Linked DNA regions of Styela clava. The protein of the gene in region 1 interacts with the protein of each later gene in a pairwise test. Links are inferred from orthologs where the notes say so. Each region holds a gene or a part of one and is shown on either strand. Other genes may lie near its edges.

What was found.
Region 2: the proteins of ralA-binding protein 1-like (region 1) and ras-related protein O-RAL-like interact in a two-hybrid assay, tested with the Drosophila melanogaster proteins (6 studies listed by BioGRID). The link is inferred for Styela clava from reciprocal best matches to the Drosophila melanogaster genes Rlip and Rala.

Annotation. Positions count from the first base shown.
Region 1 is NC_135264.1:15,712,743-15,716,678, reverse strand, and holds the start of ralA-binding protein 1-like, read left to right. Parts: upstream 1-1,505; 5' UTR 1,506-1,585; coding exon 1,586-2,573; intron 2,574-2,729; coding exon 2,730-2,889; intron 2,890-3,793; coding exon 3,794-3,936. UniProt on the Drosophila melanogaster protein: Participates in receptor endocytosis during interphase, is also involved in mitotic processes when endocytosis is switched off.
Region 2 is NC_135257.1:11,152,205-11,156,094, forward strand, and holds ras-related protein O-RAL-like, read left to right. Parts: upstream 1-1,048; 5' UTR 1,049-1,177; coding exon 1,178-1,819; 3' UTR 1,820-3,376; downstream 3,377-3,890. Other genes in the region: ras suppressor protein 1-like, read left to right, coding at 3,413-3,518.

The DNA.
Region 1 (3,936 bases):
AACATTAGAAGATTTAAATAGCAAATATAAGATAACAAGGGCTCAGCCCAAAAAAGCTGTTTCAAGAAAATAAGAAAAATTGTAGATTTTGTTTTTTCTGTAATTTTTTTATTTAACTTTTGCTGAATATTGCTTCTAACAACAATACCAGCTTAAAGCACTTATTCTATTATAATATTTTGAAATGAAGTTTACTGTATTGTTTTATCAAATTTATTTGCAAATACTGTACTTAGCGAAATGCACCAAGTTTATCACTGTGGTATATTGTGGTGACTTTTTCTTGGCCTGTAAATTGGGGATATTAATTTATTTAATATTAATGATATACTTTTTTTTTTGTTTAGTTTTCATTTTGCTTGTTTTACCTAGAAACAAAGCACTTATTCATTTATAATATTTTGAAAATAAGTTTAATGTATTGTATTGTCAAATGTTTGCAAATACTTAACGCAATGCAATGAGTTTTTACTGTGATATATTGTGGTGACTTTATGTCAGCCTGTGAATTCGGAATATTGAAACTGTTTAATGATATTACTTCTTCTTTGCTTAGTTTTCATTTTGCATATTTCACCTAGAAACAAAGCACTTATTCTGTATTGTAAGCACTTTACTGTATTGTATTGTCAAATGTTTGCAAATACTTAGCACAGTGCAACAAGTTTTTCACTGTATTATATTGTGGTGATTTTTTTCTTGGCTTGTGAATTAGGAATATTGGAAATATTCAATGATATTACTTCCTCTTTTCTTAGTTTTCATTTTGTCCATTCCATCTAGAAACAAAGTTGTTTTTATATTTTATTAAATTTTTACATATTGCCTGTCTATGCATTCAAATTTTTTTATGACTTATACTCAAAAATTATAGGTACTCCCGTAGTGTATGTACCAGTTTAGGCCACAATTTTATTCCGATTTTCCTTGTTTTAGCCCTATGACGAATTCGGGGACTGTCTATGTTAGCCAAGTGAATATACTCCCTGCCCATAGGTTTCAGTCCCTTTACACAACTTGATGTAAAGTAGGCGAACAAAATTAGTTACCTCAATGTTGGTACATACACATCTGCGCCAAATTCAAATTTATATCCACATAGTTAGAAAAGGAATATTATTTTTCACAATAAAGTTGTATATGTTTATTCTGAAAATCATGATAATATGTTGGAATAGTATTCCGATTGATTAAGAAGACTGGTTTGGTATATTTGTTTCTACTGGGAATGTTTGTACATTCCAAAATTTTAAATTTTTGTTCTCATTGTTTGTGGAAAGTTTTTTTTGCAAAACCAAGTTGGTATTGTTGGTTGGAAACCATGTTTCAATGTTAATGATTGGTACTCCCAAAGTTTGTGAACCAAGGTGGTGGACATCCGAACATAAGGTAGTATGTGTAGCATGTTAGGGTTAGGCCAAAATTTTATTCCAATTTTCCTATTACGAGTTCTGGGACTAGTCAATTGATAGTATTGTATTTGTACCTGAAATTATGTACAAATTATGAAATTGATAAATGTCCACCTTTCAATCTTTAGATTCGAAATTTTGTTAAACTAGATTAATTAAGTTGAGTTTACAAAATGACTGAATCCGGTGAGTCTGGTGAAGATACCAATCGTAAAAAGAAAAAAGAGAAAGGATATCATCATTTCTTACCAGATAATGAGACAGATGAAGAATCTCCATTTTCAAAAAGCTTTGGAACTCCAAAATCAGGACAATCTAGAAAACCAAAAACATCGAAAGGCCTCTTTAAAAAAGCTTCGTTTTCTAAAGGGAAACTTAGCAAAAAAGGGAAAACACCTGGGGACTCTTTGAACATTCCTTCTGATGTACCATCCTCGACGCCAAAATCAAAAGAACATCGCGATGCGAAGAAAAAGTCAGCGAGTTTACCTAGAGACATACAAATATCGTTTAAAGACAAAAAAGATCCGCAGAAAAAACATAAATCAAAAAAGCGAGTTTTATCGAACCCAAGCGATGAGATTCCTGAAAGCCTACCAGAAGAATCCGAGGAGATTGTCAACCCGGTATTCAAAAAAACTCTAGAAGAGGCAGTGCAGCGCACTTGCTACCACGATAACATCCTTTTACCTGCTGTGGTACGAGACTGCATAGACCATTTGGAGAACAAAGGTCTAACAGCGGAAGGAATATATCGGATATCTGGAGTAAAAGCAAAAGTCGATGAACTCATAAAAACCTACAACCAAGAAATTTCTCCGGATTTGAATCAATACGACCCATACACAGTTGCAAGTCTTTTAAAAAATTATCTACGAGAATTACCAGAGCGTGTCTTGACCGACCAATACTCCATGAAGTTTGAAGAGGCTGCTAGTGGTTCAGATAAAATCCGAGCGACCAAATCAATTCTTCAAAATCTCCCTGAATGTAACCAAGTTTTGATTTCGTGGTTAATCGTACATTTCAGTCACATTATTGATCACGAGAAGGAGAGCAAAATGACGATACAGAATATTTCGATCGTTTTAAGTCCGACGTTACACATCAGTCACAGAGTTTTGAATTTATTCTTTACTCAAGCGAAACAGATTTTTGCAGGTATGTTCTGCTCCACTGGGCATTTTTTACGAAACTTTCAATTTGATATTTATGAGACGTTTTCATATGATCACACCAGAAAAAGTACCATATATTCTTGCAATACCTAAGCGTTTCAAATACTTTCAAATTCAATTTGTCTTTTTCTCTTCACAGGGGTTGAAATCAAACCATTAATCAGACCAATGAGATGGCAAGACTGGGCCACTATGCCTCCATTACCGAAAGATCAAATAGAAGTTGTTCAAGAAATAAAACGTCAAGAATTTGTTTTAAATCGGCTTCACTCACAATTACAAGCTGGTTGTAAAGACAGGTAATATTTCTTTGTTTCCATTCTGAATACATTTTGTACATGCAGTACCGACTAGGTATGAAGTTTACCATACTCATAAAATTTTGAATTATGGCAGATCATAGAAAATGTCTCCTTGTAGATTATGGTAAGTATCACGTCCCATCCAGGATATGATAAATAGGGTAGGCAATCCATACTGTACAGACTTGGCTTGTTTGAAACGATGTAACTCTAAAATTTGCTGATAAAAAAGTCCCTAGAGAGTGCTCCAGAAGTGTATGTGTACCAATATGGGGGTAAATAATTTTGTTCGCTCATTTTACATCAAGTTGTGTGAAAGGACTGAAACCTATGGGAAGAGAGCTAACACAGACAGTCCTCGAACTCATAATAGAACTAAAACAAGGAAAATCGGAATAAAATTATGGCCAAACTCTAACCTGGCACACATTTTACGATGGACCGGCAATCCACATTGGATTTGTTTGAATCAATGTCCCGTGCTCTCTAAAATCTGCTGAGAAAAGATTTGCAAGGATACTTTACATACAGTGATCAAATAACACTATTCATTATTATAAACCTTATGTGTGTTAATTCTAATTGATTAATTGTATCTGATGTTCTTTATCATCTATTCCATTAGTCTCAATGTCTAACAAAAACAGAAGTTCTGAAACTAAACTTATTTTATATTAGATCCTTGAGTGTTGCTGCTTGATACCAAGCTTTGGTTTCTTGCAGCTTCCCATCCCCAGTTGAAATGTGTGCCTATCTTTTTTCTTCATATTTTGTTGAAAACTGACTTTTTTACTGGTTGAAAAAAATAACTTGACTTGGTCAAGCACTGGCTTATATGCTACAGATTTTGTATATGCTTTTTTACAGAAACCAATAAAATCATTTATTGTTTAAATTTCAGAAAAAAAGATGAACGTTTATGGGAAGTTCAGCGTATCCTTACACAATTAAAACGTCTGAATCGAAATTTCAAAAAAATGCAATCACAAACCAAACTAGACACGTTAACTATGGAGAGCATAGAACGCAAGCGTAATCAACTAC
Region 2 (3,890 bases), on another chromosome or scaffold:
GATAGTTGGGAACATTTTCATCAAAAAATTAGGAATTTTGAGTCATCAGACATGTAGATCAAAACGTATGATATCCCAAGCTAGTAAACAGCAAAAACAATTACCTTTCGTATTTATGTCGTTTTAGATATGATTAACGTGAAGAAGATATAGACAAATGATTTATGCAATCTTTCACATGAACGTGATGATAATTTAAAACATATTCGATATTTCATATTCCTCCCTTCATATTCGTATCCGAAAATATTTTCTCAGAATTTACTTGAAATAATTAAATATAATAAATATATAGTAATATTAGTACACAGAGAGAATCAATGTATGTTATTTGTCACCATAAAAAGCAGAAGTATAGTCTACTTATATTATAATCAAAATATACTTATACTTATGAGTCTTAGACCAGAACAACTGTTTAGTTTGTCTTTAACAGCACCCGTGGGCCGTGGCTAAAATATGAACCTCTTATATTTTTATATAAGATGTATATTTCATAAAAAGGGGGGATATCATTTTCTTATTGCTATCAAAACAAATGCCGAAATAGGCAACGGGTACGGTACCGGCATTCGTCTATGTCTGTATGTACAGAATTGATTCAACTCAATTTTATGAAAAAATAAAAAATGAAGAAAGGAATAGGATGTAGTCTATTATATTTTTTCAGCTGACTCATAAATAACCCTGAACTAGCGCTTTTAACAAATAGACAATTTCAAACTCAAGAGCACAGTCACGCGGAATACGTTTGTAACTTCAGAGCTTACAGCTGGAAAACCTCAATGTTAATATGTTCAGATGATGGAGTTTGAGTCTTATATGGTTTATTTATGACACTACCAAACCTCTATTCAGCTATTCTGGATTGAAGTGTCCTCAGTCGATCACGATGGTGTAAGAAACTGCCCCGGTCATTCAACTGATGCTCTTTTTTTGACTTTAAGCATTCATACATTATTGTTTTGGCGCTGCATGTCAACCTGACACTTGCGGAATGTGACGTAACGTCATGGCTTGTGATTTCGGGCTTAGATTCCACGCCCCCTTTTTATCGAAGGTCTTTGATTTTTTGGGTGCGGCTATTTTCGTTGCAATAATTTGAGTCGATGTATTGTGCCTCTGTGTTACTAGAGAATTATATTTTGTGATAGATAGACTATACGAATGTTAACAAATGGCAGCTAACAAAAATAAATCAAATGCTCAAGCTGCACTTCACAAAGTTATAATGGTTGGAAGTGGAGGAGTTGGCAAATCTGCGCTTACTCTCCAGTTCATGTACGACGAATTTGTTGAAGATTATGAACCAACCAAAGCTGACAGTTATCGAAAAAAAGTAATTTTGGATGGTGAAGATGCTCAAATAGATATTTTAGACACAGCTGGACAAGAAGACTATGCAGCCATCAGAGATAATTATTTTCGAAGCGGAGAAGGTTTTTTGGTTGTATTTTCAATTGCGGAAAAAACCTCTTTTGATGACACCCAGGAATTCAGGGATCAAATATTGCGCGTTAAAGGAGCTGATTCAGTAACAGCGAACAATATTCCATTTATTCTTGTTGGTAATAAGTCTGATTTAGAAGACAAACGTCAAGTCACACAAAGTGAAGCACAACAATTTGCTGATAATATGGGAGTTCAGTATGTCGAAACATCGGCCAAGACAAGAAGCAATGTTGACAAAGTATTTTTCGATTTATTAAAATTGATCAAAGATGAGAAAAACAAAGTCGCGACTGCACAAACTTCAAGCAATAGTCCTGAATCTGAAGACTGTATTGGACGATGCAAAAAATGCTGCACAATTGTTTGATTCCTTATGTCGTCATAATCGCATCACGAAACTTAAGACCATCTGAATGGTAGTTGAAAACAATTCTCTATATAATTTTATTTCAAGACTTGCAGTGGCAAAATTACAACTGCACGTACTTACAGATTTATGTACTTGATCAATGTAAAGCTGCACATTAAATGTGTTTTTTGGTCTTTTAATTTTTTTGAAAAATTTTGTCAATATATGTCAGAGACTATATTCATCTTTCTGCCATAACTCGCTAGTATTTAACTGTTTGAGTACACTATGTCTATGTGCAAACTATTTAAAAATAATGCTACTATTCCATTTTTTAGCATAAATTGTCTTCAAAAATGTTTGAGCAAAGTTGCAGTCATGACAATTTATTTCATGCCCAAACTTTCATATTCCAAAAAATGAGAGAAAAACCATCTTTGAATAGTCACATGTTAACTTTTTTGGAGAAGCAGGACCTTTGTTTATGGCACTAATTATAGTTTGAAAAATTTTGGAAGTCCAAGGACTTTACTATGAAATTACATATTGTTTGTTGCTATTAGGTAAATTAATTGCTATCCAGTAATCAATCACATGTCATAGCATATGATTAAAAGCCTGTAGATGAAGAAGTGGAAATGACTGCTTTTATCCTTGTAATTTATGATTCCACAATTTTATCTATAACCTCTGCTTTCTATTTAATTGTATTTCAATTCATAATTTGTTAATACTTCATATCATATTAACCTGCAGATTGATCTTGTTCTTCCTGTAGATAATTTTTGACTTAATTGAGGCTATGATATTGTAGAAAAATTGTAGTGTATTCTCAAACTTTTTGCTCAACATCTTGAAATGAATAAATATCACTGGTAAAGACACTGGTGTGACAATCAATCTGCACTCAGCAGTGATACTCCTTTAAAGCTTCTGTGAAAAAATGCTGTCTGTGTGAAGCATACCTTAGAATTCTAAAGTTGATTATATTATGGTTATCTATATCTTTAAATTATTCTTCCATACAACGAATTATTCTGTGTCTAATTGAATCCTTTGGGACCGATTTGAACATTTAGTATGATACTGCTTAATATCTCGGTATCCAGGATATTTGCTATGTTCTAACTTAACTGAGCAGCTTATCATATTTCATGAGCTCACAACACAATTCCTTTCTGGAAATAATGTCATTCTAATGTAAATCATGTACAGCCATATTCACCAGTGCTTCAGATTTATGTAATAGCCTGACATTTAAATATTTCGAACACTTTTCAAAATATTTGTCCAAGTACATGATTTATGTGTTATTGTTTTTATCTGAAGTTGGGAGGTGCATTTTATGCAATAGCTTGGGCTTGATATTTTTGATTTCGCTGTTTAGTGTACAATAAATATTATTCCTATTATTAATATTACCTTGTGGTTTATTGTCTGTGTATAAATATGATTTCTTTGTTCAACTTGGTGAATCTTACAATTCTTTCGACCTGTAAGAATATGTCGAGTTTCTATATTTTATTAAATTTTCTGCTAATTGTTGTTTTATTGTGTTTTCGCATACTCTTTAGATTATTGATACATGACATTTTTTGAAAATCATTGACAATGTCAAAGTTGAAAAAAATTGTTGAAGAAGCGAAAGAGTCAAGATGTCGAGAAGTTGATCTCAGTGATAAAGGGATTCAAAATGTGAATGAAGTTCCCGGGCTAAGTATGTAAAATCTGTCCAGATTTGAAAATAGCGTTGAATGTTTTAGAAACATTACTTTTAGAGGTGGTTTTTATCTCCACAGAAGTATATATATCTGATATGACGGTATTTTTTCCATGTTACATGACCCGTGGTGGAAGATCCTTTGTTATGTTATATTTGAATACTTGTAATGGAAATGTTGCGACTTGAATGCCATGATTGGTTGAATTATTCAAATTTGAAATTTTTTTGCCTTGTTCATGCAATTTTAATATATTATATTGCAATATCAAATTCAATGAATTTTTATATTACATGATTTATGCGAAGTTCTATCTCAAACATGACCCAATCTATACTGCATTCAATATTCTAAAATACTGTTTTAGA